Pelodiscus sinensis: one gene and its partners. The protein of the gene in region 1 purifies or fractionates together with the protein of each later gene. This does not show direct contact. Links are inferred from orthologs where the notes say so. Each region holds a gene or a part of one and is shown on either strand. Other genes may lie near its edges.

Evidence for each region.
Region 2: the proteins of CYLD (region 1) and MAP3K7 purify together in Homo sapiens (affinity purification with western blotting; 4 studies listed by BioGRID, with this or other methods). This does not show direct contact. The link is inferred for Pelodiscus sinensis from reciprocal best matches to the Homo sapiens genes CYLD and MAP3K7.
Region 3: the proteins of CYLD (region 1) and SPATA2L purify together in Homo sapiens (affinity purification with mass spectrometry; 3 studies listed by BioGRID and IntAct, with this or other methods). This does not show direct contact. The link is inferred for Pelodiscus sinensis from reciprocal best matches to the Homo sapiens genes CYLD and SPATA2L.
Region 4: the proteins of CYLD (region 1) and SPATA2 purify together in Homo sapiens (affinity purification with western blotting; 10 studies listed by BioGRID and IntAct, with this or other methods). This does not show direct contact. The link is inferred for Pelodiscus sinensis from reciprocal best matches to the Homo sapiens genes CYLD and SPATA2.

Annotation. Positions count from the first base shown.
Region 1 is NC_134722.1:31,411,328-31,419,628, forward strand, and holds the start of CYLD (ubiquitin carboxyl-terminal hydrolase CYLD), read left to right. Parts: upstream 1-4,865; 5' UTR 4,866-5,025; intron 5,026-5,309; exon of another isoform or gene 5,310-5,630; intron 5,631-8,301. UniProt on the Homo sapiens protein: Deubiquitinase that specifically cleaves 'Lys-63'- and linear 'Met-1'-linked polyubiquitin chains and is involved in NF-kappa-B activation and TNF-alpha-induced necroptosis.
Region 2 is NC_134713.1:65,051,761-65,059,462, reverse strand, and holds the start of MAP3K7 (mitogen-activated protein kinase kinase kinase 7), read left to right. Parts: upstream 1-4,244; 5' UTR 4,245-4,808; coding exon 4,809-4,898; intron 4,899-7,702. UniProt on the Homo sapiens protein: Serine/threonine kinase which acts as an essential component of the MAP kinase signal transduction pathway. Plays an important role in the cascades of cellular responses evoked by changes in the environment.
Region 3 is NC_134722.1:2,496,702-2,504,146, forward strand, and holds the start of SPATA2L (spermatogenesis-associated protein 2-like protein), read left to right. Parts: upstream 1-4,423; 5' UTR 4,424-4,478; coding exon 4,479-4,871; intron 4,872-5,907; coding exon 5,908-7,017; 3' UTR 7,018-7,445. Other genes in the region: L-fucose dehydrogenase-like, read right to left, coding at 1,179-1,413.
Region 4 is NC_134728.1:19,620,843-19,628,692, reverse strand, and holds the start of SPATA2 (spermatogenesis-associated protein 2), read right to left. Parts: upstream 3,127-7,850; 5' UTR 2,837-3,126; intron 2,128-2,836; exon of another isoform or gene 1,801-2,127; intron 1-1,800.

The DNA of each region.
Region 1 (8,301 bases):
CATTTGTAAGGGAAACGTACTCTTCACTACAAGCAGTCAACCTAATTAATTTTGGATTCTCACATTTAGACTAAGTCTATTCCATCTCACACATCATCACAATAACAGGGTTCTTGTGCCTTCGCTCCTTTTTTAAAAAAGACATGTTTCGTTCCATGACTTTTACCACAGATATATTCAAAAGCCTGATTCTAGCTGCAGCAGGACTTTTTCTTGCTTATGGGCTAATTTTGCCTCCACTGGGTTCTGAAGACCTTTGGGGAACAGAACAGTAAGTACCCAGTGTAAACTAGGACAGCCCCAGGATTGTTTTAATTAATCCAAGTTAAAGTTGACATGGTCTGTAATACATTACAAGAACATTAAGGATGAAAAGTCAAGCTCTGAATTAGGAAATATCAGATTTAAGGATGTCTGTGAAATCTTAATTTGGACTCTTTCTGCATGTACATTATGATACAGTCTTTAATTACATGAACTCATACTATTTTTTCATAGTTTTCTAAGCATATTGGGAGTTGCCTGCTAGAAACACAAGTTTCAGAGAAGGAATTTTTTATATGATTTAAAGCCTGGGTGGAGGGAATAAGAGGCCAGGAAAGGCAATGCCTTCCCATGTTGCCCAGCTGAATCAGGCTACATTCTGCCCTCAGCACCCCCATTCATTATGGGCCCCCCAGTCTCTTGGGCCTACTTGGGCTTCAGCCCTGTGGCTACCCCTGCAAGGCTGAAGCTGTGCCACCAATCCTCCTGCGGCCAGGTAGGCTTGCGGTGGGAACCATCTATGTTCCAAGGTCAGGGGAGCTGCTTGCCCTCTTGGGCTCAGAGGCCACCTGCCTGTCCTATGCTCTGGGGAAGGCTTGGGCCATGGGTTTTGTCCGCCCTCCCTCCCTGTGCTGATGGGAGAAGGCTGGGGCCACCTGCCTCCTGCTGGGGGAGTGGCTTGCAGGACTTCAGGTGGAAGAGATAGGACTGCGGGTTTGTCTCTCCATGATTTAAAGGAAAACAATTATTTAAATCACCAGTTAGTAACAGTCTAGTATGTATAAAAGTATGAATCGTGCATTTTTAGCAGTTGCTAAATCTGGATTTTAATACATGCATGTATATGTTAATCTTATTTTATAATACTACTTTGCACTTTCCTAAGAATCTGACTCATTTTTAAACTGGGTATTAAAGATTAGAGGCAACTGAATGTTCACATGTTCAGTGTTCACACAAAGATATATGTAAGTAACTTTATCACAAAGTCTTCACTACTGAGTATTCCCTGATGCATTATTTAAATTAATTATCCTATGAGTTCTGAGTGACTGCCAACGCTATAGTAGGGGAAAAGTTAAATTGCATATTTGTATTAAATAGGTTTATAATAGCCTTATTGTAATGACTGAATGACCGGCACTGATTTCTAAAGGAAACATTAATGGTTAATTGAAAACATGCACTTAGCTAGTCTTAACATGGAGAAATTTTGACTGGAAAACCTTTTGGTATAAAGCTCTGAAAATTCTGCACAAGAATTTTCTTTTGAAAAGTACTGTATGTCTTTGAAGTAGCAAATGTGCTAACTGATGCAGGAGTTCTTGTAATTTACTTACCAGCAGAAAATATTGCCAGTATCATATGGACTTATTTAGTTAATATACACGTTCCACATAATGTATTGACCACACATATGCTGTGTAATTAAAGAGTTATCGTGCCAAAATACTTTGTCAGGGCCCAATGCAAAGCACACCAAATTCAATGGAGGTGTCTTTCCAATGATTTCATTGATCTTTGGTTAAGGCCTTTAAATCGCAATTTATGCTGACTGCAGGTAATCCAACATATAATATTGATTCAACTTTTCACAAAGATAATGAATGATTTAACAATACATCTGTAGTTTTTTCCTACTACTTACAACTGATGTAGCAACAGACATTTTCTGCTTTGCAATATATTGCCTAGTTAATTAAGGAAGGAAATTTAGTTAAACTGTTTTTCTATCAACATGTATTAAGTGAACATTTTTCATCAAAATGTGTACTAGCCCCTATTTGAATAAATGCAGTCTCTCTACTCTGTGAATATGCAAATGAGGCAAATGAATGTTTGATGCACCAGCATGCATGCGTATCAGGAAATACGTTTAGATTTGCATGTACCCTTTCTTTTATGTGGAACTGGATGCTTTCACATAGGAAGGTGTGTGGTAATCAAACTGGGTATTTGCACATCTAACAGTGAGTGCTTGTCTGCATATGGGGGTATATCTGCACTGCACAGAAGTGTATGACATGTCTAAGGTGTGGGACGACAGGCTTTGGGCATGTTGAGTAAACGCAGATCTGAGGGAGACTGAATATGGGCTATTCCATATCTAATGGATCATATATGGACAGATATGTCAGATCATGATACATCAAAAGGGAGTGTATGTACTTGTATAGCACAGGTCACTGCAGGTTACCTGTACTGCTATGTCTCACTGCATGTCTAAGGGAGTGGCAATGGTAAATATTAGGGATGTAAGCGACTAGTCGAGTAGTTGACTATCCTTATCGGGTAGTCGAGTGACTGCTTGCTTTCCCCCACTCCTTGCTGCATCTGTATTAGATGCAGCAAGGGGCGGGGAAACAGGAGCCGGTGGTGGGGGAAGACAGCTTGAAAGCTGGCTGCCCCTCAGCACCATCTACATGGTGCATGGGAGCCAGGGGTAGCAGAGCAACTATTCAGTCCCAGCTCCCACCACCCAGAGAACTAACCCTGCTGCAGCTCTGCACTTTGCTGGGCTCTTACTACATTTAAAATGCAGAGCTGCAGCATCCTAGAGGGCAGTGTGAGCTGGGACTGTTCAGTCCAGGCTTGCACCGCCCACAGGAGCTACCTTGGGGTAACTCACCATAGGGTTAGCTCCTGGGAGTGGTGACTCTGCACTGCACAGAAGTAGGCTCTTACTACCATTAAAGTTCAGAGCTGGAGTGGGACCACTCCCCCTGTTATCGGCTATGGGTACGTCTAGACTGCATGCCTCCTGTGACAGAGGCATGTAGTCTAGACATACCCTAATTGAGTAGTTGATGGAAATTCCATAGGCTACTTGATTAGTCAAGTATCAGAGGGGTAGCCATGTTAGTCTGAATCTGCAAAAGCGGCGAGGATTCCTGTGGGACCTTATAGACTAACTGAAGTGTTGGAGCATAAGCTTTCATGGTCAAAGACCCACTTTGTCAGATGCACGTACTGCATGCATCTGACGAAGTGGGTCTTTGCCCACGAAAGCTTATGCTCCAACACTTGCTAGTCCAGTGGTCCCCAACCTTTAGAGGCTGCCAGGTGCCAGGGGGCGTGGCCGTTCGCCTGCCGGGTGCCAGAGGGAGGGGAAACATGCATGCCGGCCCCCCCATAGCTGCGTGCTCCCGGGGCTGGCGCTCCTCCTAAGCGCCGTGCGCCACAGGCCGGCACCCCCTCCAAATGCTGCACGCCCGGGGCCGGCGCCCCCCCCTGCAAGCGCTGCGCGCCCGGGGCCGGCGCCCCTCCCCTGCAAGCGCCGCGCGCCCGGCGCCCCCCCCCCCGCAAGCGCCGCATGCCCGAGGTGCGAGCAGCCAATTCGCGGCGCTCCCGGGGTTGGCGCTTACCATGCGCCCGGGCCAGCTCCGGCACTGTGCATGCACCATGTGCCCGGGGCCAGGCCAGCCCTGAGCACTTGGTGGGCGCACACAAATGGCACCGTGTTGGGGACCATGGAGTTAGTCTATAAGGTGCCACAGGACTCCTCTCCGCTTTTGATTAGTCAATTAACTAATATTTAACATCTCTAATAAATATGGAGCAATTTTATCACAGATCTTGCAATATTTCATATTTCTCTTTAATCCTCAGGTTCCTGTGATTTAGTAAAAATCTCTGCTTTCATTAAGTAAGTGCAGAAACTAGAAATTAAAAAAGCTTCAAAATATGTTGCATTTAAAAAAAATTCGAGATCAAAACAGCCTCCCTCTCCCTTACCCCACCTTCCGCACTAAATTTGATTTGTCAGTTTAATAACATGTTCACTTTTTTCATTGTAGTCCTTTGGTATATATATGGCTATGCCAGTTCTCTTCCAGAATATGATCTGAGGAAGTGGGTCTGGCCCACAAAAACTCATCATCTATTAAACCATCTTTTTAGTTTTTGAAGTGCTACGTAGTTTTTCCTTTTGTTTTAGCAAGATCAGACTAACAGGGCTACCTCTCTATGACTATGAGACAGTTAAAGTGCTTAGTCTGTGTAATAATTTACAATGAACCAATGTCCCCAGCTGCAGCACTAGCAAAATGGCTTGGATGTAATTATGTAATTAACGGTGAGTTTCCATTAGCGACTGGTGGCCTGACTCTGTATGGCCCTTCTTATGCGCTCCAGCCACTGCTGACTCTGCTCCCTTAGCCGGCTCCTGACCGCCGCCTTCGCTCCCCGCTGCTGTCAGCCGGTTACTGAAGGATCCAGCCAATCAAGTTGCCTTACCCCACACCTGGTTAAATTCTACCAATCGCTAGACTCGGATGATTTCACCAATCAAACCCAAGCATTCCTCCGCTCCTCCTCTCTCCCCTCCCACCTCGTCTCGGTAGCCAATCTTCATCGCGGGCCTAAAGGGCTTGGCCAATCAATCCTAGCTGATCGATTCCTCCCTCACGTCTGTCCCCGCCTTCATCTGCGGCTCTGGCAAGCCTGATGGAGTGGAAATCCCCTCGTAGCGGCAGGGTTGCTGAACATGTGTGTGTTTGCCCAATAGGAGGGAGAGTGGCCGGCTCGGGGCCTTGTGGTTGGTTCCGGCAGAAGGCTGAGGGCGGTGCTATGGGTCTAGCAGGGTAGGTTTTACGGGCCGGGCCGGCTCTGAGGGGGTGGGTTACGCGGGTTGCCTCGCTCTTGAGGAGTCCCGTGAGGGTGTCAGGTGGCTGGGAAAGTCCCCGCGCCAGCGGCTCCGGGGCTGTCGGGAGGGGCGGCCTGGGCGGTAGCAGCGAGGTGGCTCGCGGGGCGGAGGATGAGGTGAGTGATGGGCCCGGAGCGGTCGCTCTGCGCTTCGGGGCTGCCTCCCGCTGCCCTCTCCCCCCGCCCCCCTCCTCTGAGGCGGCAGCAGCGGCAGGGTGGGGGGTGGCTGCTGACACCTAACGGTGCCGCTATGGGCGGCGGCAGCGGCCTTTTTCCAGGCTCAGGCTCGGGAGCTGCTTTGCCGGCGGGTTATAAACGCTCCCCCCCCCCCCCGGCCGGTGGGAGCGCAGCCGGCGAGCCTGTCCCGGGCGAGCTTGTCCGACCGCCTGGTCCTTGTAACAAGGGGGGGGGGGGGGGGCAGCGTTAGCTTGCCCGCGGCTCCACGCGAACTTGTGGCGGAGCCGGACCCGCTTTCCTTGCGCTGTCTCCCTGCTCCCCACGTTGCTTCGCTTGCAAATCCCTTTAAATCTCTGCACGTGCGGCGGTAAAAGCCCCCCCTCCCCGCCCGTGGGACAGCGCTCGGAGGGCTGCCGGTAGATGAGGGCAGGGTACGTGCCGAGCGCTGTCGGTGTCCCCGTTTCCCTCCCGGGTGTGTAAGGCAGCCCCTCTGTGCTTAGACTGCGCTGGCCCAAAGGCTTAGACACTGGCTACAGAGCAGCAAGGTGAGATTTGGCTTCTTTTCGTTATGATTATTTTAAATAAACCCAACGGCTGCATCTGGACTGGCAAGTTTTTCTGGAAAAGCGGCCGCTTTTGTGCAAAACCTTGCCAGCTGTCTACACTGGCCGCTTGATTTTGCGCAAAAGCACTGACCTTCTACTGTTTGAAATCAGTGCTTCTTGCGCAAATGCTTTGACATTCCTGGGCAAAAGCCCTTTTCTGGAAATGTTTTTGTGCAAGAGGGCCAGTGTAGACAGCTAAAAACTGTTTTGCGCAAAAACGCCCCGATGGTGATCGGGGCTTTCTTGTGCAAAACCGCGTCTAGATTGGCATGGACGCTTTTCCGCAAAAAGTGCTTTTGCGGAAAAGTGTCCGTGCCAATCTAGACGCTCTTTTCCGCAAATGCTTTTAACGGGAAAAACTTTTCCGTTAAAAGCATTTGCGGAAAATCATGCCAACCAACATGTATCTTGGAGGTAGGCTATCTCCGTTAGGCCCTGATCCTACAGTTGGCTCTGGTAACTCCTGCAGAACGTTATTTGAAGTCAGTTGGGTAAGAGGCTCACACTCTCAGATCTGTTTGTAGGATTAGGATTTAGCACTATAATGATCTGTGCTTTTTCTCAGTTGCCCACTGAAATAAGTGCTGTGTAGAAGGGCACTGATTTTGGTCAGTTCGGCTCACAGGTTTACTGTAATGATCCTGGCCACCATTCCTCTATTATATATACAAAATTGAGAGAGTCTGTCTGAGTGGGTTCAAGTCATCCTAAATGTAAAAGCTAGGACCAGCAAATATGGTATGCAGATGCTGCTTCTTATCATAATTTCAAAGCAAGGTAAGGGTTTGGTTGTGCCAGAACAATGGGATTTGCCTGAAATACTATGGGTTCTCATAAAACACAAAGGGACAAGTCTGCTATAGGCTCAGTTATGCTGCGGAATGACCACAGGAGGGCAGGTCCACTGATAAGAGAGTGGCTGGCCGAGGGCAGGATTCTTGATGTTGCTGGCCACGATAGACAGATAAGGTTCCTGTGCTGGTGAGCTGGCCAACCTCCTGCACCCTTGCTTCCCCTTTCCTGAGTCCCTTCTTATCTTCCAACTCTGACTCCTGCACCTCCATACCCCCTGCCTCTAGTACCCCCAACTCTGAGTCCTGAACCCTCGGCCCCCTGTCCTGAGCCCCTCCTTAATGACCCAAGCAACACTGGGTAAATGTGCTAGTGCTATCTAGTTAAAAGTTTAAACAGTATTTTCATGTGTACAAATGTTTAAGAAAAAAGGGTAGGTTAATCGAAAATGAAAATCGGTGTTTAAAAAAAGTAAGCATTTAAAAGAGGAAATGTTTAAGTATATTTTATGCTACTCAGGAAACAAACTTTAACAAGAATAAAGAAATATATTAAGTCATAATCAAGAACATTAAAACTGTTTTCGTCTTTTATTTCAAAACATGAACTCTGTGCACAGCCCTGCTGAATTGGAGATAAATGCCACACTGATACACAAATGTCATCCCCAAATCAAGTCCATGTACCTAATATATCAAACAACTATAGTGTAGTGTTTTCTCTTTTAAACACATTTTTATCTAAACATTCTTTTTGAAAACTGAAAAATATGTATTTCATATTTTACAGTATTAAAGTTAAGTAGCAAAATCCAAACAGTAAAAATAAATTTTAAAATGTATAATTTATTGGTCTGTTTTTAAGATTTCTCTTAGCAATGCTAAGCATTCTTTTAAAAGGCATATTTTTATTTCATTCAGCATTGCAAATGTGCAGCTATTGACTTCTTTGGACGCTACTTTGTCTAATCAACGGATATAGCTTCTTGCGCTTAAACGTATTTTTCAGGCTGTTTGACTGTCATGGTGGTTCTGTACATGGAGTTATTAAAAACATGGTATTTGAAGTGAGGAATCTACAAGAGACAATCTGAATCAGGTTCATCCAGTTTTCCCCACTTGTTCTGTAGTTTGAGACAGGGCAATAATTTGAGTATGTTCATGGTGATAGGAGATACAAATCACATTTCTTAGCCCAAGTAATGCTAAAGCAGAAACAAAATTCTCAAATTTCAGAACAAATTTTTTATTCAAGTGAGATGATTCTCTGTAACAGTATATGTGAGTGACTCCAGGGAAGAAAGGGGTGGGGAGATATAGGAAAACTTCTAACTGGACCGGTTCGTGGGTGAAACTGCACATTTGAGCCACAATAAGTCCCACTTACAAAGTTTCAGTCACTTGCTCCTATTAGATCTTTCCTGTTCGGAAGATGTTTTCTCTCTTGTGTCTCAACCCGTTTTGATACTAAGTTAGGTTCAGATATTCCAAACATGGCTATGGTAAAAGACCCTAGATGGATAGAAAATATTCTTAAGTTTGTCATGCAGGAGTGAGACAATACTGTTATACATTCTGTTAGGCACAGTGCATAATATTCAACAATGCATTGCTATGCAATGTAATAAATCACATATGCAAATGCTCACAGGGTAAGTGTGGAAGAGTGGGTGGCAAAAGGGATGGAGAGGTTTGTAGTGTAGGGAATGGGAGGAGCAATTACGAGAGAGAGAGAGAGAGATATATATATATATATATATATATATATATATATATATATATATATATATATATGGGTGGGGGTCTTGTGATATGGAGTG
Region 2 (7,702 bases), on another chromosome or scaffold:
AAAAGAGCGTCTAGACTGCAAGCAGTACTTTCGAAAAAGCAAGCCGCTTTTTCGAAAGAAAGCAGCGAGTGAGTCTGGATGCTCTCTTTCTAAAAAGCCCTGTTGGCATTCAAGAACGCCTTTTTTCGAAAGAGGACTTTCGAAAAAAGACGTTCTTCCTCGTGAAATGAGGTTTACCGCTGTCGAACGAAAAGCCGCGTTCTTTCGATTTAATTTTGAAAGAATGCAGCTGCAGTCTAGACACAGGTGAAGTTTTTTCGAAAAAAGGCTACTTTTTTCGAAAAAACCCCTGAGTCTGGACACAGCCTAAGTTCCCTCTCTTTTTCTTTCTCTCTCTCACTCTCTTTCTTTCTCTCTCACCCTCAACTAAGAAAATAAAGGCACCAGCATCTTTGGGCTTCTGGGAGGAATTCTGATGGAGGAGAGGGTAAGTCTCCATCTTGATGGAAAACTGTGGATAGGAATATCTGTCGTGAACAAAGCCTTGAGCCAAAACTTTCTAGAGTAAGTTTTATACTTTTAGCTGTCTATTCACTTTAATTTGTTTGTAACCATTTCTAACTTTATCTCTTATACTTGATTTTACTTAAAAGCCTGCATTCATTTTTAATCTAAACTAATCCAGTGCTCTGTTTGAACTGTTCAGTAACTGCAATTAAAATATCAAACTGTTGAATATTCAATAAAGATCTTAACTTGTTAACCCATTACAAAGGTAATTTCCCCTCTTGCTATCAACATTTCCACATCAATGCTGTGAATGAGACACTTCCACCCTGACTTCATTAGCCTCATTTACACAAATACCCTCTTTTTCTTTTGTTGTCTCTCTCTCTCTCTCTATATATATATATACACACACACACCCATGCCTCCATAAATTCCGTGACTCCATAAATTCCACTCCAATTTATCTGATGAAGTGGGATTTACCCATGGAAAGCTTATGCCCTAATAAATGTTTAGGGTGCATCTATACAGCAGTGTTATTTCGGAATAATGGCCATTATTCTGTAATAACAATATGAGCATCTACACAGCAATTCAGTTATTTTGAAATAAATTCAAAATAATGGGCGGCTTATTCTGACTTCTGTAAACCTCATTCCATGAGGAATAATGCCTATTCCAAAATAAGTGTAGTGTGGACACTCCACTGCTGCTATTTTGAAATAGCTCCTCCCCAGGGCCATTCAAAGTAATTACTCCCTAGTGCTTCCTGGGGCACTAAATCAAGGTAGTGCTTCTACATTGGGGTAGCCTGCCTCAGACTAATTTTGAAGCTTCCCTGTAGTGTAGATGTGCTATTTTGAAATAAGTTATTTCGGAGTATTTCTTCCAAGATAGCTTATTCTGAAAAAAGTGTGCAATGTAGACATACCCATTGTCTCTAAAGTGCCACAGGACTCCTCATTGTTTTTGCAGGAGCAACGCACCTTTAATATCTGACTTGCCCAAGTGAAAGCTGAACAGTACAAAATTCATTTCAGGGAAAATCCAAGATTGGAAATGATGTGATCATTTTGCAAGTAGTAGTAGGGTTGTCAGTCTGGGTTGGTTCCATTCTTGGAGATTTAATCACATGGCATATTTTTTCATTCCCATAGAGTCCTGGACAATCCAGGAGGATTGGCAACCCTAGCAAGACTGGTGGAAAACAGAGTGATTGCAGTATCATTGACAAGCTACTGAAGTCAACATAGCTTTACCAAGATCACAGCTATACACACACTTAGACCATGTCTCCACTTACTGGAGGATCGACACACTGGCAATCCATCTTCCAGGGTTCATAGTCCTGCTAAATCATATGCTGCGGGAGCTCCCATCAGCATCGGTACTCCTCATGAAGGGGAGTCAAGTGCAGCATTTCTCCTGTCAACCTCCCACTGTAGAGATGATGCCAACCTTGGCTTAAGGTACGTTGATTCCAGCAACATTATGTACGTAGCTGGAGTTGCATACCTTAAGCTGGCCTTCCCCCACAGTGTAGACCGGACCTCAGAGTGTGACTTTCTAGTTGTGAGCAGCCCAGGCTGGTATTACAGCAGCAAAGCATTGCGAGACACTCAGCATTATAGGGTAATCAGTGATACAACCCTTCGCTGGACTGAACTGCACCCTGGAATGTGCAGGACTTAAGTAGTGTGAGGGTATTTGTACAGTCTAGCGGTTTTCACACTGTATTTCTTGTAATCCAGTTGAAGAAAACTGTTGCTGCCCTCAACCCAAGATAATTTGACTCTGATAATTGGGCTCTGGAATAAGATTGAGGAAGAGAGCTTTGGGGTGTAGCCAGGTACTCCAGCTTTGGGTGTGACAGGACTGTGACAGGAAAGGCTTACCTTGAGCAGCTCATGGTCAGTGATGCAGAGGGTGCCAAAGGTGTCCCTAATCTCTGTTTGTAAGGGACTGGAAATGGATGACAGAGCGATTAGGGATGTAAGCAACTAATCGACTAGTCAACTATCAGATAAGCAAAAGCTTATCAGATAGTCAACACTTGGGATGTGAAGGACTAGTCAACTAGTTGCTTCACCCTCCTTGCTGCCTCTATTAGAAAGAGGCAGCAAAGGGGGGGACTGGAGAGGGTGTTTCAAAGAGGCAGTGCCACATGGAGCCTGGGGCCAGACCCTGTGCTACACACGGTGTTGCCACTTTGAAACACCACATGCAACCCAGGGCCAGCCTGGTACACTGGGCTGCACACTGTGTTTCAAAGCGGCAGTCCCATGTGGAGCCTGAGCTCAGTGGGTGTCCAGTTAACCTCAGGCTCTAAGGTGCCACTCTGAAACACCGCAGGGAGCACAGGGCCAGCGGGGGACTGCCTGAGTCTCCTGATGGCCCTGTGTGCCCCGCAGCGCTTTTGCCTTTGAAGTGTCTACCCTGAAGCTGTAGCTACACTCCAAAGGCAAAAGTGCCCTTATCAACTAATTGAATAGCCAATGTAAATTGCATGGACTATTCAATTAGTCAATTAATCAAAATTTAACATCCATACTCAACACACTATTCAACTAGTCACTTCTCCCCCTCTTGCTGCCTCCATCAGAAAGAGGCAGCAAGGGGAGGAACTGGAAGAGGTGCTGACTGTAGCCAGCTTAAAAGCCAGTTTCCCCCCACAGCTCCAGCTCCGTGGAAGTGGACAGGGGTGCAGCAGCGGTGTTCCAACTTTGCAATGTACAACAGCCCAGTAGTAACTTTTGTACATTTCAAAGTTGGAACACTGCTGCTGCACCCCTGTCCACTCCCACGGAGCTGGAGCTGTGGGGGGAAACTGGCTTTTAAGCCGGCTACCCTCAGCCCCTAGTGGGGCTCTTGTACATTACAAAGGCAGAATGCCGCCTAGTCCTTATCGACCAACCAAATAGTAGATGGAAAAATCTCATCAACTATTATATTAGTTAATTAATTGAAATTTAACATCCCTAAGAAGGATCTCTTAATAATTACGTGTTTCTGTTCACTCCCTCTGGAGCATCTGACATTGGCCACAGTCAGAAGACAGGGTATGAGACAAGATGAACCTTTGGTCTGACTGGGTACCACCATTCTTTTTTTTTTTTTTTTTTTTTTGATCTGAGGAAGTGGGTCTGGCCCAGGAAAGCTCATCATCTAATAAACCATCTTGTTAGTCTTTAAAGTGCTACATAGTCCTGTTTTTTGTTTCAGCGACACCAGACTAACACAGCTACATTTCTATTACTATTCGCCATTCTTATATTCTTAAGACAGACTCCCTGCTGCTCCTGGTACTGCAGCCTATGCTGCCTCCCAGAAGCAGCCAGCAGCAGGTTCCCTGCCAATGGGAGCGTGGAGCTAAATGCTCTGGCCAGGAGCAGTGCATGTTGCCCTGTGCACTCTCCACCTACAAGCCGGGCCTGTTACGGCCCATTTCTGGGGCACGGTGCAGCCCGTGGTACTAGGACAAACAGGCAGCAGCCTTAGCACCGCCACTGCTCGCCATGCAGCCACGAGACCAGCGCCTGCCATTGCACAGCGTAGCGCTGGGGGCGGTTGCTGTGCCCGTTGCAATCCCTCCCAGGGACGGCTGGGATCCGCCGTTGGTACACGAAGCCCCGGGAGCCGCTGCTGGGGGAGCTGCTACCAACAGCCGCTGCGCTTGGTGCCCCACTCGGCGCTTGAGTCCCCCGCGGCGCCGGGCGGGGCCGTTCCTAGGCGCGTGTCCCAGGCGTCTGTGCGGCTCGGAGGCGGCTCCCCCTGGCTGCCGGGCGGCTCTGGCGGGGGGGGGGGCGGAGCTGGGCCGCCGCCGGCCGCGCACGAGGGGAGGAGCCGGGAGGAGCCGCAGCCGCCGCCAGGCCATGGCCCCGCTCCGGCGGCCTTAGCAGCAGCCGGAGACTCCCCCCCGCCCCCCGGCCGGGCAGCAGGAAGCGGCTCCCCTGCCAGTAGCGGCGGCCGGAGCTCGGCTCTGAGCGGCGCCTTCCCTCCCCGCCGGGGCTGGCGGAGGCCGCGGGGCCCCGCCCCCGGGGCCGTCCCGTCTCCTCTGCTGGGGACGCGCAGTCCAGGCGAGTCCCAGGCTCCAGGGAGGCCGCGGCCTAGGGCGGGCGGCGCGCCCGAGGCGCAGGATGCGGAGCGAGGCCCCCCCGGCTGGGGGCTCCGCGCGGCCCCAGTAGCCCCGGATCGCCGCGGATGCGGCCTCGCCCCGCGCGGCGGCCCAGGAGGCGCCTCCGCCAGGCCCTCGCTCCCCAGAGCCTGTGCAGCGGGGAGGCGGCCCCCCTGAGCCGCTCCTCTGCCCCGGCCCGGCTCGGCCGGCCCTGCCCCCTCCTGCCCTAGTTGACAGCGAAGGGATGTCTGCTGCCGCCTCCGCTGAAATGATCGAAACTCCCCCGGTCCTCAACTTCGAAGAAATTGACTACAAGGAGATAGAGGTGGAAGAGGTGAGCGAACCTCGTGCTCAGAGACTCCCCTTTCCTCCCTCTGCACAGCTCCCTGGGGCTCGTAGGGCAGCTTTCACCCTACAGGACCCGAAAGACGCTTACAAACTAGATAGGTGTTGTGGTCCTGGCAGGCAGCCAGCTGCGGGGAAGTGGGGAGAAAGGAGGGGCGAGAGTGGTAGTCAGTTGGCACAAAGGTGTGGGGGTGATAGTGAAGATTCTGCTCATAGACACCGAAGCAAAACCCCAACCTTATGAGAGAGGCCGTGAGACTACTCACAGGCACGTAGAGCTGAGCGTTGTATAGTAAATTCTGTGCTATTCTCCCTCTCGGAAGTGTCTAAATACTGCAATAATGTGCATAGAAAACATGTATGGCTAGATGCAAGGCTGTTAACCTGAGCTGCCAGGGAGCTTAGATATTCCAAACACGAAGCAAGAATCATAGTGTATAGGTGAATTTTTACTTAAACAGTCTAAATTTAATCCAGACTTTGTGGGACTTCTATATGTTCTGATTAACTCACTGATCATAACCACCCAACTTTATCACTGTCAAATGGAGAATTTTTAAACTATATTGTAATGCTTCCATTTTGTCTGTGTCTATTTTTGTAAGTCTCTGTTCTCTCTTCCACCCATCCGATTCAATGTACTTATTATACACCCATTACTATGGTATCTATCTGATGATCATATCCCAATTTTTTATGTCTACATTATCATAAGCATAAAAGACTCCTTTTAGATCTATTGAACTAATGTAAGTGATGGTACAATCCAGTGGCTGTTAAATTAACATCAGTACATGTGTGACCCTTTATTGCATTTGGTATTGATTACTTGTGACGTAATTGTCCATTTATGTTGTACTTAGTTTGGGGGGGGGGGAGTTTCCTACTTGAGTGTTTCAGCGAAAGATTGGCTGTGGAAGAGCTGACTTAAATTCTTTGAAACTGGTATGCAGTTGATTAAGAAGTAGTTCTGATAAAAGTATTTGTGGCTTAGTTTGGTTTTTATGTGGAGGTAAATTCTCTAGAGCAATCTGTTTTCCAGAAAGGTTCAATGGAGATATATTAACGGCTCATTAAGGCCCTTATCTTGCAAGTTGTTCGATTCAACTGAATCCCTCCATCCCTGTGAAGTCTCTGTTTAAGTCAAGTTGTTGTACATGGGCAGACCCCCATTGAACTTGGTAGGATTTACATATGCTGACTTGCAGAAAAATTAACTTAACAAACATTGGCATCATTATAATCTATGTGTTTTTAGCTCTTTAGCAGATTAATTACTGCTGAAAGAAAAAGATCTTTTCTTCTGACTGATAACTATACAGATGTGAACTTAGACTTGTATAGCACCTTTCATATATGTGATAACCAGTAGTTCTGAGCTTTACAGCATCATTTGCTAAATAGTGATAGTTAGCCTGCATCCACAGAAGTGTATTTTTGGAGACTATAAACAGTTTTATTGAAAAGTAATGTTTTCCAAGAACACTGTTTGCAAGGTATCATGGTATCTTTGACTTTCACCTTGAGTCACCAGAAATCTGTAAAAGGTACTTTAGCTTTAATCAGTCTTTAAAATTATTTACTGTTTCCCTTTCTACAAACAAGATAACCTATATCAGATGTTCTCAAATTGGAGGGGGAGGGAATATATGGAATATATTGAGAGGCATGAGAAGCTATTAGGGGAGAGAAACTTTCTACTGAAATTTACCCACAGCATTAAATAAAGTAGAAAATCAGCATTACGAATGCCCTAGGAATGGAGATTGTTCACCACTCTTAAAATGTTGATAACTCTGAACAAAACCTTATGGTTCTTTCAAAGGTTACAACTAAACATTTACTTAATAGAACTTTGAAACTGTACTGTGCAGAAAAACTACACAGTCAACCACTGGTACTCTTTGCCAGAGGATGTGGTGAAGGCCAAGACGCTAACAGGATTCATAAAAGAATTAGATACATTCATGAAGGATAGGTCCATCAGTGGCTGTTAGCCATGATGGGCAGAGATGGTGTCCCTAACCTGTTTGCCAGAATCTGGGAATGGGATAGATCATGTGATGATTTCTTGGTCTTTCATTCCCTGTAAGGCTCTTGGCATTGGTTACTATTGAAGACAAGATACTGGGCTTGATGACCCTTTAGTCTGACCAAATAAGGTGGTTCTTATGTTCTTATGCTGCTTTCCTCCCTTCTTAGTAATTTACATTTCACACAATACTGTACAGTATTTGCTTTTTGTGTGTGTGTCTCTGCTGCTGCCTGTGTACCTCCCATTCCAAATGAGATGTGTGGTGAACTGTCAATTTGTAAATCTGTTGTTCATAACTATGAAGCCTTTTCTTCTGTGCTATTGCTGGCCACAGCACTGCCTTCAGAGCTGAGCCACTCAGCTCTAATGGCAGCACCACTGCTACAACAGTGAAGTAAAGTTGGCAATGCTTGTAAGCAATATCTCACTTAAATATTGCTATGTACTTAAATGACTCTGTTTGAATCAGTGCCCTCTTGTTTATAACATTTAGTGAGAGTTAAATGTAGATTGTGTTTTTTATCAGTATATGTACTTGTGTGGTGAGAGAGCTTAAATTACTACAGACATAAAGAATGGGGGGCATGATTTAGAATGTAAAATCCTGTTAAACTGGTTAACAATTAAATAATTGTTAAATAATTAAACTGGTTAAACATGTGCAGGGAGGGAGTCCCTGTGCTATAGTCAAGGGCTGCTCCAGCCCCATGCTTCCAGCCCCTCTCTGGGCTGCAGGATCCCAGCCCATGTGTGCTGGA
Region 3 (7,445 bases), about 29 Mb from region 1:
CTCCCCGGCCTCGTGGCCCAAGACCACAGGGCAGATCACTGGCGTGGACCTTGAGCTGCCCCACATCTCCCAGAGCCGGGGGGTACGGGCACACCCCGCTGTGCCAGCACCACGCTGCTCCCACCAACCCCCGCCGCAGGCTTCGGGGTGCCCGGCTGGCATGGCGCTGCCAGGAGCACACACCAGAGCCAGCTCCCCCACCCCGCCCCCATGGCTCTCCCGGCAAGCCCAGGGCTGGAACCGGAGCCACTCATCCGGGCCCCCCGCCGACACAGCCACGGCTCTGCCCGCGCTGTCCCCAGCCACCCCCCACCCGTGGATCTGGACGGAGCCTTCCCTGCCTGAAACTAGCCCTTGGCGGGAGGGTGCTGGCATCCGAGATCTGTGGGGCAAAGGGCCCCGGAGCCAGGCTGCCGGGGGCGGGGGACGCGGGCCTGGCAGCGGTTCAGGCAGGTACGTCTGAAGGGAGTGGGCCTGGTTTCCGCCTGCTCTGGCTTCGCAGGGCACGTGTCCTTCCCAGTAGCAGCACCGGAGAGCTGGGCACACGCCGCCGGCACAGGAGACGGACGAGGGGCGCCTCCCGGCTCGGCAGCTGGCTCGGGCAGGCGACAGGCTCAGCCAGGCAGAGGCGGCACCGTGTACCAGTGCACGGGGGCAAGGGGCCAAGGGCAGCCACCCAGTGCGGGCAGAACCCCCCACCGGCTCTGCCAGGGCACACGCCCCTCTGAGCTGGGAGTGCGTGCCCAGGCCAGCCCCTGCCCTTTGCTCGCTAGGGCGGGGCAGGCGAGACAGGCTGGGCTGAGCAACACAACGGGGCAGCCGGCACCCCCAGCAGGTTTCCCCTCGCTCCTGCTGGGCGGGGGCCTTTCCCCACCCAGCCCCCGCTGCCTGGCCAGGACATGGCAGCTCGGCAGCCTGTTCCTGTCCCCGAGCCAAGTGTCTGCAGCCCTCCAGGAGCTGTCAGAGGCTGGGGCTCGGTGGGAGGGAGCTATGGGTCAGCAGCTGGGGTCTAGGGCGAGGCTCTGCTCACCCCAGGGGTGTTCCAGCCGCTGGAAGGACCCCAGAGCCAAGGAGCTGGCATCACAGCCAGGGCGAAGCCCACGCCAGCCCGTATGCCGCCATGGTGGGAAAACAAAGCAAACTAAGTCCCCAGTGTCACCGCTGCCCGACGCCCCTACCTCTCTCCAGCAGCGCCCTCACGATCCCGGACCCCACCGTGCCAGCCCCTCCGAGCACCACCACGACTCGCTCCGAGGCAGACATCCCGGCGCTAATGGCAGAGCCAAGCCACGGCCAGCCACCAACCAGCCTGTGCCCGTCCCAGGCAGGGAAATAAGTAGGGAAGTGCATTCCTAGCTCCACCCCCATCTCCCCTGGCCACACCCACTGCCCACTTAGCCCCACCTCCTGCATCTGCCTCCCCCCCCTTTGCCTCCTGCCTCAGGGCTGCTCCCTTAGTTCCAACTCAGTGGCCTGAGACAAACACCCTGCACAGGCCGAGTGCCTTGGGCAGCCATAAGCATCCGAGTGACAGGCTCCCTCGCCGGTCGCTGGGGGACCCCCCCGCCCCCAGCTCCGGTCTGCCTGGTCCGGGCCAGCCCTTCCCTCGGCCCTACCCCCTGCCGAGAGCCATGGCTAGCCAGGCCCTGCCCCTCGCTCCCTCTGCCCGCCTCGGTGGGCTCCTCGCGCGCCCCGGTGCCCGGAGCCAGCGCCGTGTGCGGCTGCAGATTGCCAGGGCCCCCTGCTCTCGGCTGTTCCTCACTGCCCGCTCCCTCCTCTGCCTCCGTCTCCACCTCCCTCTGGGAGTGCCCAGGGAGCCGCTCCTCGTGTGCGCCTGACGTCTCTTCGCCCGGGCCTGCTCCCAGATGCTCCCCGGCACGCCCACGGCTCCCTCCTGGCAGGGCAGCCTGGGCCCTCCCTGCTGCCTGGGTCTGCCAGCGGGCGGGGGCAAATCGGGGGGGGGGGTGGTGATTCCTTTACACTGAGGCTGCCCTGTTGCCTCCTTTGTTCTCCGCTCTCCTCAGGCCACAGACCTGCCTGGGGCTCCCGTTCCTCCCTTCGCACGGTGGCTCCCGTCTCCCTGGCTCCGCGCTCCTCTGGCTCGCCCCTCTCTGCGTGGGACACAGCCGGCTCCGCTTCCCTCACTGTTAGGGCTTGTCTTGCACACGAGGCGCAGCCCGGAGCCAGCTCCATCGCCTCCCCTGCCCAGCCTGAGCCTGCCTGCTTCAGCCTTCCCACCGCGCCCCAGTCCCTTCATCTCGCCGTGGGGCTGTGCGCCACCTCTGTGACGTGCCCCCCGCCTGCCCCACGGCCTGCCCCCCTCCTACGCACAGAGCAGCACCGTCACCTGCCCATAGGTGGCCATGGGCTTGCCTGGGCTCCAGGGCCCAGCTCAAAACGGCCCAGCCAACCTCCTGGCTCCTCTTCTGGCTCCGGCCCCCTCCTCTCTGCCTGCCGCCGGCCCTCGGAGAGCCCTCTCCGGCCCTCGAGGATCTCTGCCACCTCTTTGCACCCTTGTGGGCCCCTCTGCTGCAGCGCACTCAGGGGGAGGGGGACAGTGTAAGCCCTTGCCCCCCAGGCATGGGGTCAGCAAGCCATGTGTTGGGGGGAGGGAATCTGTCTATTGGAGGTCGGCTCTGCGGGTCCTGGAGCCAGATTGGCCCCCTCCATAACCCCTCTCCAGTGGGCACAGCTCCCGGCCCGGGTGCTCGGCTCCATGGGCTGGCTCTAGCACCGGGTGCTGGAACCAGGAGCAGGCCCACTGGTGCCAGGCTGGCTGAGGGTCCCCAGCTGGCCAAGGCTGGGCGGGGAGGGGCTGCAAGGCACTTGCGTCTCCCCTGTGCTGAGAGCGTTTCCCGCCTTCCACCGGCGACCAAACACCAGCCCCGCTGCAGGGCGGGCGTGGGGTGGTAGGACGGCGGCTTCCGGGCTGCAGAGCCCCTGGGACGAGGGGGGGCATCAGCTGGCGAGGCAGGATGTGGGTGCCCTAGGGAGCCCCTGGCCGGCTGGGCATTACCAGTGGGGCCAGTGGTTTCCTGCCCTCCCCAAGTGGGGGTGTCCTGGGGTGGGCTGGGGGCTCCGCCCAGGGGTCGGGTGGGATGGGGGGCAGAAGCCTCTGGGTGCCCCGAGTGTGGGGGCTCTGGGTGGGGGAGGGGAGTCTGGGCATGGGGGGAGCGGGTGGGGGTCCCCAGGAGAGGCGGGGGGGTGTCCTGGGGTGGGCTGGGGGCTCTGCCCAGGGGTCGGGTGGGATGGGGGGCAGAAGCCTCTGGGTGCCCCGAGTGTGGGGGCTCTGGGTGGGGGAGGGGAGTCTGGGCATGGGGGGAGCGGGTGGGGGTTCCCCGGGAGAGGCGGGGGGTGTCTGGGGTGGTCATGGGGGTCTCTGCCTGGGGGGCCCAGGAGGGCACGTGGGAGGGGCAGGAGGGTACCCGGGGGGGCCAAGTGGGGGCGCCCAGGGGACGGGCATGCGGGGGGTCGCTGTGCGGGTCTCGGGCCAGGCCCCGCCGCCCGGCCCGGCAGGGGCAGGGTTAACGCCCAGTGGGCGGGGCTTCTTGCAGCCCCACCCCTCGACATGTGACGTGTCCTGGCCCGAGGGGCGGGGCGAGAGGAACCGGAAGTTGGTGCCCGGCGGAGGAGCGGGGGGAGCCCAGGCGGGCAGGTGAGCGCGCCCCCCCCCCCCCACGTGCCGGGACAGCCCCGGGGCAGAGGCTCGGGGGGGGTTAGGGTGGCCCCAGGCTGAGCCGGGCTCTGGGGGGGGGGGTTAGAGTGGGGCAGGGTGGCCCCAGGCTGAGCCGGGCTCTGGGGGGGGGGTTAGAGTGGGGCAGGGTGGCCCCAGGCGGAGCCGGGCTCTGGGGGGGGGGGTTAGAGTGGGGCAGGGTGGCCCCAGGCTGAGCCGGGCTCTGGGGGGGGGGGTTAGAGTGGGGCAGGGTGGCCCCAGGCTGAGCCGGGCTCTGGGGGGGGGGTTAGAGTGGGGCAGGGTGGCCCCAGGCTGAGCCGGGCTCTGGGGGGGGGGGGTTAGAGTGGGGCAGGGTGGCCCCAGGCTGAGCCGGGCTCTGGGGGGGGGGGGTTAGAGTGGGGCAGGGTGGCCCCCAGGCTGAGCCGGGCTCTGGGGGGGGGGGGGGTTAGAGTGGGGCAGGGTGGCCCCCAGGCTGAGCCGGGCTCTGGGGGGGGGGGTTAGTGTGGGGCAGGGTGGCCCCAGGCTGAGCCGGGCTCTGGGGGGGGGGTTAGTGTGGGGCAGGGTGGCCCCAGGCTGAGCCGGGCTCTGGGGGGGGGGTTAGAGTGGGGCAGGGTGGCCCCAGGCTGAGCCGGGCTCTGGGGGGGGGGGTTAGAGTGGGGCAGGGTGGCCCCAGGCTGAGCCGGGCTCTGGGGGGGGGGGGTTAGAGTGGGGCAGGGTGGCCCCAGGCTGAGCCGGGCTCTGGGGGGGGGGTTAGAGTGGGGCAGGGTGGCCCCAGGCTGAGCTGGGCTCTCGGGGGGTGGTTAAAATGGGGCAGGGTGGCCCATCTTGGGACTTTCCGGTGGCACTGGGGCCCTGCCATGCCCGGGCCCTGAGCCGCTCTCCTGGCTCTAGGATGGGCCCCAGCGCCGCGCTGCAGCTGGAGTACAGGAGGTGTGTGGAAGGGGATTTCCGCAGGGGCCGCGCGGGGGTCTGCGCTGACCCGGCCCTGAGGGCGTCGCTGCGGCAGCGCCTGCTGGAGGAGCCGGAGCTGCACCGCGCGCTGCAGAACGACGCCTTCGCCACGCTCGCCAGCAGCCTGCGAGGACAGGACGACCTGCCCCAGGCGCTCCGGGGGCTGGCCCGGGCCTTTGAGGTGCTTGAGCTGGCCGCTGTCAATCTGCACCTCTTCCCTTGGCGGAGGGAGTTCAGCACCGTCAAGGTGAGTGGCGGTGCCGGACGGGGACCGGTTAGCGGGCCGGGGTCATTCCCAGGACGTCAGCTCGGGTGCAAACCCCCCGGGAACAGAACCCTTGGAGCAGTCCCTGGTGATGACGCTGGAATTGATTAAAGAGCTTCCCTGTAATGGCAGAGGCCTGGTCTAGCCACTGGTCGGGGAGGGGCCTGGCCGCGCCCACGCTCTGCCCCCAGAGTGCCTATTGGGGGCGGAGTGTTGCTGCCCCCAGCCTCGCCGTGCTCCTGGCTGGGGAGGCTGGCACCACCTCCTCCCCTCCTGACAGGTGTGTGCCTGCTTCCCACACACGCCCCTTCCTTCTCTTCTGCCCCACCTCTTCCCAGCCCCAGGGGGCAGGGCCTCAGCAGAGGGGCAGGGCTGTAGTGGGGGTGGGGGCCTGCCTTCCCCCAGCTGCACCAATCGCCCCTGCTGGAAACCCTCCCCGTGTCTGTCTGGCTTCAAGCGAGTAGGGGCAGAGACGCTTGTCTCTGGGCTGAGTCACCGGCACAGGGTTGTCAGGCCTTCCAGTCCACGGATCTTAGCAAAGTCTTGGGGTGCCACAGAAATCAGCTTGCGGCTCAGGGCTGCACAGACCTGGGTGGTTAGATGGGCGGGGGGGGGGGGGGAGGGCACCACAGGGCTGCACTTGCCCTAATCTAACTCTGCTGCCTTCCTGGGAATTGAATTGCCTGGCGTTCTCAAGCAGGCAGTGCTGCATGGAGTGTGACACACACACACACACACACACACACACACACACACACACCCACCCACCCACCCACCCACCCCCCCCCGCCCCCCCCCGGAGGCTAATGGTGGCTGCAGGGACCACAGTTTGGGCTGTTGGGGGGTGGGGAGCTGAGAATCCAAGGTGCTCTCAGGCAGCCATGGGCTAGGTGCTGCTGACAGGGTGACTCATTGCGTCAGCGACTGTGTGGCGGAGCCAAGGGAGCTGAGATCACCTGGTGAGTCTGGCTGGGGCCCAGCGCCGGGCTCAGCACATCACACCGCGCTTGTGTTGCAGATGTTCTCCGGGGTGTACGTGCACTCCCTGCAGGCGGCGCTGGCGGACACGGACATCGCCAGGAGCTTCCGCAGGATGGGCTACGTTCGGCGAGACGACCAGCATCTCGTGGTGTCCTGCCCTCCCCCGGCTGCTGAGCTTGTCCAAGCTGCTTGTGGCTTCTTTGCAGCGAGGGTGGAGTGCGAGATCCTGGGGGAGATCCTTCGGAAGCTGGGGCCGTGCCGAGTGTCTGCTGAAGACCTGCTCCAGGTGCGGAGGGGCACCAGGGCCCTGGATGACTGTGTGGAGAAGCTGCAGGGTGTTGCCGGATGGCCGACAGGCAGGGGCCCTGGGGCCCAGGGCTGTGATGAAAGCGTTGATCTCTACAGGGATGAGCTGGAAAACCCAGAGGATTTGGTCGACCCCATGGAAGCCAGGCTGCACTCTTCCCATTGGGGTTTGTCCTCCTGGGAGCAGCCCAGGCCTCCCATCCGGGAACAAAGCCCCCCTCTGTGGAGCAAGCCTGTTGGAGGACGTTATCCTGAGGATCTCCGGGGAAACAAGGGAAGGTTCTGGGACAAGTGGGGGGCTACTGAATCTGGCTGGGAGCAGCCTTATAGAAACGGGCCCGACCCAGAGGCTGCCTCTTTCTCTTTCATGTCCTGGAGAAAGGAGCTTAGCAGGGGAAGTGACTCGGTCTCTCCTGAGCGTGCCGGGCGCACGAGCCCTTTTGACAGTGCGGTGCTGGAGCCACTGCAGGCAGCAAGCTGCCTCCAGCCCTGCTCTGCTGGCACAGCTGTGCCCTCAGCGGGCAGAGTGGCCCACAGCTGGTCCGAGACTGCAGAGAGACCCTGGGAGCCGCCACCTGGTGCCGCAGGGCTAGAGGGCAGCAGTGGGGAAGTGCCGGAGCCACCGTGCTACCAGCTGCATTCGTGCCTGAGCCGAGGTGCCCTCCCCTCGTACTGCTGTGCCACGTGCTATCTGCTCCACGCCCGGGGCTGCGAGGCCGTGCAGGCCTGCCGGGGCAGCCACCACATGCAGGAGCTGCAGAGCGAGACCCAGAAGCGGATGTGGTTGCAGAGGACTGAGGTGGACATGCTGCTGAACAAAGGCTCTGGCGCTCGTCCCTAGCTCCAGAACAGGTTGCCTTCCCCGCGCCTGCAAATGCTGTGGGACGTGCCAACCAAATCCTACCTCGGGGTAGCATCGGGAGTTGTCCGATGCCACTGGACCTGTCCTAGAGGCCTGCTCCCTCCTGCCCCCACCCACTACAGCAGTGCTCTGTAGACTCGCCCCACACCCTCCCCCGTTGTCGCTTACTATCCCCCCTCAAGTCCTGTGAGCTAGTTCAGGGATCAGCCTCCGCTGTGTCCGTCCTGCCTGCGTAGGAAGGGCTCTAGCTTCCCTCTGCTCTGCCAGGACAGCAGGGAACTCAGGGGAAGAAGTGTCTGGATTCAGGCTGGGCCCTGGCCCCAGGCTCGTGGGTCAGGAGGAGTGGCACATACATCTGCCCCTTACTCTCCCGTCCCGCCTGGCTCAGCTGCACAGGGAGTGACTGC
Region 4 (7,850 bases), on another chromosome or scaffold:
CCAGCAGAAGAAAATCCCCCTGCTATTTCTTGCCATATTAACTACTCAAGCTAGCACCATTCAAAATACAAAGTTCTGATTCAAAGAACTATTGAGTAAGTGGAATTCCTTGCCCCAGACAGTGAGAACATAGCTTTTATTACACTGAGCAACTCAACATGAAATATGGCTGAACTGTCACAATAATTTTACCACAAACCCACAGGCATCTTCCATGCCCAAGGGGGGACATGATAGCGGTTTTCAAATATCTAAAAGGGTGTCACAAGGAGGAAGGCGAAAATTTGTTCCTCTTGGTTTCTGAGGACAGGACAAGGAGTAATGGGCTTAAAGTGCAGCAGGGGAGGTTTAGATTGGACATTAGGAAAAAATTCCTAACTGTCAGGGTGGTCAAATATTGGAATAAATTGCCAAGGGAGGTGGTGGAATCTCCCTCTCTGGAGATATTTAAGAACAGGTTAGATAGACATCTGTCAGGGATGGTGTAGACGGAGCTTGATCCTGCCTTGAGGGCGGGGGGCTGGACTCGATGACCTCTCGAGGTCCCTTCCAGTCCTATTATTCTATGATTCTATGATTCTATGAATAACAATTTGGGCTAGAGAGGCTCACACACCAGGGTCTCATCAAGCATGCAGATTTTAAAAAATTCATCTGAACCTATAAAATAACTTACTCTGGTATTCCCTTTTCAATCTGTTTGAGAGCCTATAGGTAATATAGTGAAAGCCTAAACCCATACCTAATACAGTGAAAGCTTGCTCTAACCTGGCAACCTTCTCAATCTGGTTTCCATGGTATACTGTTTGAGAAAAGCTAGGTTCTCTCCTTGGCACTGCCTTTAACATGTTGACAATTCTACATTTTCAAAGAGACCATTCTCCTGGAATATTCTTCCAGTGCTACTTGTCAGTCAACTTTGCTGCTAATTCAGCCTCAGAACCTTCCTGTGTCTGGTACAAAGTCAAGACACTTTATTATAAATCACTGCTGTCCATCAGTTACCTGCACGAGCTCCCATCCTCTCTCTAACTTCAGAGTCCATTTACACTGAAGGAAAACAAAAGCCAACCCTGACCAACCACATCATGAAGCCTCATAGCTTGGGTCAACTGGGACTAAAAGGAACAATGCAAATGTTCCTAACTGATCTGGAACTCAAACTCTGAAGTTTCTCTCCTACTCCCATGATTTCAGAGCGGCAGGGGCAGCTAGCTAAATGACTATCATTAGCGCCCCAGCATAGGCCAGAGACAGCTGGAGGGCAGGTATTTGTTTCTGCAATGTAACTACACCCGTAGGACCCTATGCAAAACTTGCTGTGGATTGGACAGTCAATGGACCATCCTTCTCTGCATAGGCCACACAGTGGCCAGAAGGGACCACCGGGATCACCTAGTCTGACCTCCTGCCCAACACGGGACATACCTGCTCCAGCATCATTCCCTGGGCTGAGATTTTGCACCCTTAGAGGCATCTCCTCCCAGCCTAGCGGCCCCCCCCCCCCCAAGAGGAGGAAGTCTCCGAGTACATTACCAGGGGCCGGGGGACGCCAATGTGAGCCCGAGATCTCTCTGGCCCTTCCGCACCTGTGCTCGGCGGGGCTACCCAAACCTCCCCCAGCCAGGGAAAGCGAACCCAGGGCCCGCAGCGGGGCAGGCCGGGCACCCCGCACCGGCAGGCGCACGAGAGCCGGGCGGAGAGGGGCCCGACAAGGACCCGCAGGGCTTACGACCAGGAGGCACCCGCGGGACCCACCCCGCACCCGGAACTCTCCCCCGCTGGGGCCTCCCCACTCACAGCTCGCAACGAGGGGAAGCCGTAGCGCGCCCCGCGGCCAGCCGCCCGCCTGCAGGAAGCCGCCGGTGACCCGGATACAGACCCCCGCCCTCCCTCAAGCAGCCGGAAGTGACCCCTGTGGGAGCGAGAGGGGAAGCACAAGGACCCGGAAGGGCTTTGGCGCATGCGCGGTGCTCTCGGGAAACACTGCTGTAGCTTGTAAGGCAGCCCTCCGTCCCTCTCTCTTGTCCCTTCCCCCCCAGCGAGGCAACCGCATGCTCCTGGCTCCAATAAAAGCGAAACAGTGGCAGCCACCACGGGCAGCAAATCAGTTTAGGCGGAGGAAGTGACGTACTACTGAGGTCCGTAGTCATTGCGCATGCGCTTCTTTGGGGACGTCACTTCACGTGTGATGTCATAGAGAAGGATTTAAAGGGCTAGAGTATCTTCCTCAGGTTTTTTTTTCTTTACCTGGCCTCTTACCATAAGGGCTCTTCCTATAGACCTGCAAGGCCACCTGTAGCTTGACTACTCCTGTCCAGCAAGGGCCCAGGCTGTAAGTGGCCTGCTGGATAAAACTGGGCTTTTCACAACAGGGCAGCTCTGGCAGCAGGTGCTGATAGTCCTGGGATGTGCCTGGTTGCACCAGCCCTGCTTGAATGAGAGTCCCAGGTACTTCATCTAGAGCCCCGGTGTCTAACACACTATCCACATGTGGCTATTTGGCTGGTTGAGTGTGACTAGTTGGCTGGAACAATGTGGCTATTTGACTGGCCGAGTGTGACCAGTTTGCTATAAGAACTGGTTGGACACCACAGAGCTAGAGCCTTGTTAGGTGAGGGAGAAGATGGATCAGCTTTTCTGGCACTAGCTAAGGGCTTGTCTGCCCTATAAAATTAAGTCAACTTTATGCTGATGTACAGCCATAACTGTAATTAAAATGATGTTTCACATCGCACTATGCTCCTTCGTCAGTGGTGTGCATCCCTACCAGGAGTACTTCCAATGAGTAAAGTGGGGCATTGTGGGAGCACTGCCAGCTGGAGATCCCACTCACCCACTGTAGAGGTAGCAGGCAGAGCAATCGGTCTGGTGTGGAGCTCACAGCTGGAGTTGGTAGATGCCCTCAATACTGCAGCCAGCCTGCAAGTGCCCAGTTGGAGCCAGGATTATGGAGGCTGACAAACTCTTCACACCACAGTGGCAGCAGCCCTGGAAACCTCATCTGCAGGTGAGATTTTTGGTACTGCTAGGCTCCCAGCTCCAGGACATTCTTGTAAGTTACATGGGGACTCCTATTTCACATTTTGACTCTTGCTCCCTGCTCTGCCCCATAATGGGGAGGGGAGGTGCGCTCCAGCTATCAGCCTACACGGGATGGACAGCCAATGTGATGTAAACAACATAGTGTCTACACGGATATTGCATCATATCTATATCTACCTAAATTGAGCTTTTCATGGAGGTAGAATTATTAAGTTGGTGTAGTAGACAATTTAAATCAGTGGGAGCAAAATGGTAATATAGAAACTTACAGAATTAGGTTGATGTAAGCTGCTTTACATTAACCTAACTGTGTAGTGTACACCAGGCCTCAGTGACTGATAAACTCCTTTGCAACCAATGCCTCGGAACAGGACAAAGCTGCCACCCCACAGAATCCATCTTGAAAAATAAATGCTGTTTCCGATCCTGACCTGGCCACCCACCTGCAAATGATTTAACTGTCAGAAAATGATCAGAAATGGAAAAAACACTGTTTTCAAGTTTTGACCTGCTTTAGTGTTTACTTCATCACCTTTGTTCCACAGAGAGCCAGAGAAGAGGATGAGCTTTAGTCAGTCTGATTCCAAAATTTCTAATGCATTACCAATGTGATGTATTCAAACAGCATCATTCAGAACCCCAAACCATGAGACTTGCAAACAAGAGTTGGGCGTGCATAATTTATTTTTATTTTTATTTTTGAGCTTAAAAGCTCATAAAGGTTCACATTTTCCACGTTTTTCTAAAACTTTGAGCTAGAAACACGCTTTTAAATGAAAATTGAAATGTTCATGCAGTTACAAGAACACAGGAACTGAGGCCTAAGGAAAAAAACATTAAATATTGTAAGATTTGTGATAAAACAACAAGAGTTGGCAACATAGCATGGACTATTTCTTGGGACACGCATAGCAATCCAGCAGAACCTCTAAAAAACAATCACATGTGGGGAGGCAACAGGATGCTGCACTAAAGTGGGAGGAAGGAAAGCTTTGACAGGGTCATTGGGTCACTAGTCCTGCTTATTCTTGGGATTAAATGGGATTTTGAAATGTGCGAAAGAGTCACAGCCTTGGTCTTACATCTCATTTGAAAGATATTAAGGTCAATTCCAGCAGCTCAATTTCCTCACTTTCTAGAGGAGAAATGTGTTACATCATAATTACAGCAAAAAAAAAAATCCTTTAAAATAATGCAGAATGTGGCTACTCATTCACAACAATGAAATCTATTGACAAATCATGAGACAATTATTTTATAAATTGCTTTGAAAGCCACAGAATAACAACAGCATTATCCTTTTCTAAAAAGGTCAATATTTCTTATATAGCCAGAACAGCCATGATGATAAATGAAGAGGAAAATAGCATGACGGTTTGTTACTAGAAAACACCCAAATCATATGCTAGTAATAACATAATGATTAAAATGTGGACAACCTGCATCCTTGAGGCTATGTCAAAAACCAGGCAGATTCTGCCTGCTCACGGTTACTTACATTCTGTTGCTTTAGCTATTTTTTAAAGTATTTGTTTGTTTTTAGTAACAGGATCATTTACCTTTTGTTCCACTTAAGATCAGTCTGAAACTAACAAACTCCATTTCCTTTACATTCTGCTTGAAGGGAGCTGATTTTACCTCAAGCCTGGCTTGTTGTTCTAACAATGTTTAGGTTCTAAGGCTGCTGGTGATAAGTGCTAATGTGTTTTACAGCTGACTAGAAGCTGATTGTTTTCCAAGACCAACTCTGAATGTCAAAAGCATAGTTGTTCTTTCTCTGCATCTTCAGTGCATTATGTTCCATGTATGGCAGGTGACTCCATCTGACAAAGCACTCAGTGAATTCAGTTTCAGGAGGCCTGTATCACTTGCAGGCAGAAGCAAAGCGTTAGCAAAGTCTAAACTATAAGACAGAGTGTCAGGCACCATATGATAAGGGCTTAAATCTGACCCATTAAAGCCTTTACAAATGAGTCCTTATTTTGCAGCTGGTTCCGAATTTAAACTCAGGATTAAACCTACCCGTGGATATGCATGTGCAGTTAATATGCATGTTGTGAGCACAGTTCTGAGAAAAGAACAGAGACCTTCTGTCACTGGCAGTGTATCCATAGCTTTGATTTTCTAATTCTGCTAGTTAAGTGACAAGGCACTTGGCACATGAATGGAAACATTTGGCTTCACATATACAGTATGTTTTCCTCTTGTATTTTTCCTTCTGCCTTCCTGATTTGCATTTCACACTACTCTCCTCTCTAACTTCCTCCCCACCAAAAGTTAATTGTGAAGCATTCAAAGTTTTACTTAAATCCTGCAGAGTAGGACAGTGGGTTAGGACAATATCTGCAAACTGCTCCATACATAAATTGCCACCATCCTTGTTAGGAAAGGATGCTTTTTTTATTTTTTTAAAGAAAAGATTGATCATTATTCCATTCAGTCACTCATAGATTTTAAGGCAGGGGTGGGCAAATACCTGAGCCTCCACAGGTACTGGCGATCGCAGCTCCCATTGTCCACAGATTACTGTTCCCAACCAATGGGAGCTGCAGGAAGCAGTGTCCTAGTCTGCACCACTTCCTGCCACTCCCACTGGCTGGGAACGGCCATCCGCGGGCAGCAGGAGGTGCGATTGCCGGTATCTGTGGAGGCGCAGGTAGATATAGCAGCAGCAGCCTGCCAAGGGCTAACCCTGGCAACCACCACTGTTTTATTGCTCACACCTCCTTTAAGGCTAGGAAGGACCATCATGATCATTTAATCTGACCTCCATCATGCTGCAGGCCTCAGAATCTCACCCACCCACTCCTGTAATCGATCCCAACCTCTGACTGGGTTACTGAAGTCCTCAAATCATGATTTAAAGACTTCAAGTTACAGAGAGTTTACAGTACATTAGTTTAAACTTGCAAGTGATCTGTGCCCTGTGCTGTAGAGAAAGAGAAAAAACCCATCATCTTTGCTACTCTGACCTGGGGGGAAATTCCTTCCTGACCCAAAATATGGCAGTCTTGTTAGATCCTTAGCCTATAGGCAACACCCACCAGCCAGACACATGGGAAAGAATTATCTGTAGTAACTCAAAATCCTCCTTATCTCGTGTCTCATCACAGGCCATTGGAGATATTTCCTGCAGTTGCAGATCAGCTACATGCCATTGTAGACCGTCTCATTGTACCATCCCCTCTCCCCATAAACATCAAGCTCAGTCTTGAAGCCAGTTAGGTTTTTTTGCTCCCCTTGAAGGCTTTTCCAGAACTTTACTCCTCTGAAAAGTCCTCCTTAACACAAAAGAGTTACTGTACCGGATCAGACAATCTGTTTCTTAAAAACTTGATCCTGTATCTCTCAGCTGAAATGCTGCATATGGAAGTGTAATGAGTACTCAGGGGAACCCAGTTCTGCACTAAGGATAGTGATTCTGCATGGCTGACAAGTAACTTCCTAATAGCAAAATTAAAGCTCAAAGGTCATTTGACAAAATATTTCATGAGAGTGGTAAAGATGCTATTTGAGATCTTCAGATGTGCTCATTCTTCCCCAGCATTGCTTCTTTTTACCCTGCACTGTGGCAATGGGGTAGACATGCAAGCGGCTTGATGCTTATTACTTGCTCATTCCACAGGGCTACACTTGGGGCTTGATTCAAAGCCCATTCCAGTCAATGGGTGTCTTTTCATTGGCAGCCCGCCTTTCCTTCATGGCCCGCCTTTCCAGAGACCATCTGTACACGCTCATGCTCCACACACTGCATTTCCTCACCCTCGTGTCCCGCTCCGATACCAAATGGCAGGATTATTTAAGATCAGTTGAAGGTAAGGAATCCCGACGGACCAGTGTTTATTCCACCTTAATCCCACATCCCATTGAGGACATCAGCTGGCAGCTCCTCCATGGAGCCATGAGCATGGGTGCATACCTGGCACAGTTCACCCCCGTCCCAGACGCCTGCCCCTTCTGCGGCGTGAGGGGAAACCTGGTGCATGAATATCTGGAATGCACCAGGTTGCAGCCCCTTTTCCAGCTCTTCCAGAACCTATTGCTGAGGGTCTGGCTGCACTTTTCCCCTCACCTTTTTATTTATGCGCACCCCATCCATGGCCCCACAAAGTCACAAGACCTCCTTGCCAACCTCCTCTGGCTCTGGCAAAAGCCGCAATATATAATACCAGGGGGAGAATGCTGGATGAGGGGGTGCTCTGCAACTGTGGGGCCTACTTCCGTTCCACCCTTGTGTCACATATCTAGGCAGAGTTCCTCTAGGCAGTGTCCGCTGGCTCCATAAACAGCTTTGAGGAGCAGTGTCCCCATCCGGTTCCCTCATTTTAAACCTTTGACCCGCACCACTTGACCCTGTTTTTCATCATTTGTCCCTCGTATTTAGTTGAGCCCTGGGCCCAGTTGTCCCTCCTGCAAGGCTGGGGGAGGGGCTTTTAGAAGTGGGTGGGCTGGCACCCGCCTACCCCGTTGGGTTCAAATAGTGACTTCACTGGGCTTACAGTCTGGCTCTCAGAGCTTAGTACTTGCACCCACACATAGCTGCTGCTCACACTTAACTGCAGTGCAGCAGCCTTATGTTCCCTTTTGTGCAGTGAAAAAGGATTTACAGGATGAAATTGTAACTCATAAGGTGATAGACAAATAATGCCCAATGCCTGCCATTTCAGAGGAAGATGAAACTCACCAATAACACAACTTAGTCAGTATATGACATGACAGGGTGTGTCCTGCACTGAAGAATTTAAACTATGAAGCATAAGACTCAGCATTCCTATTTTAGCATTGCTATATATTTCTGTCCGTAT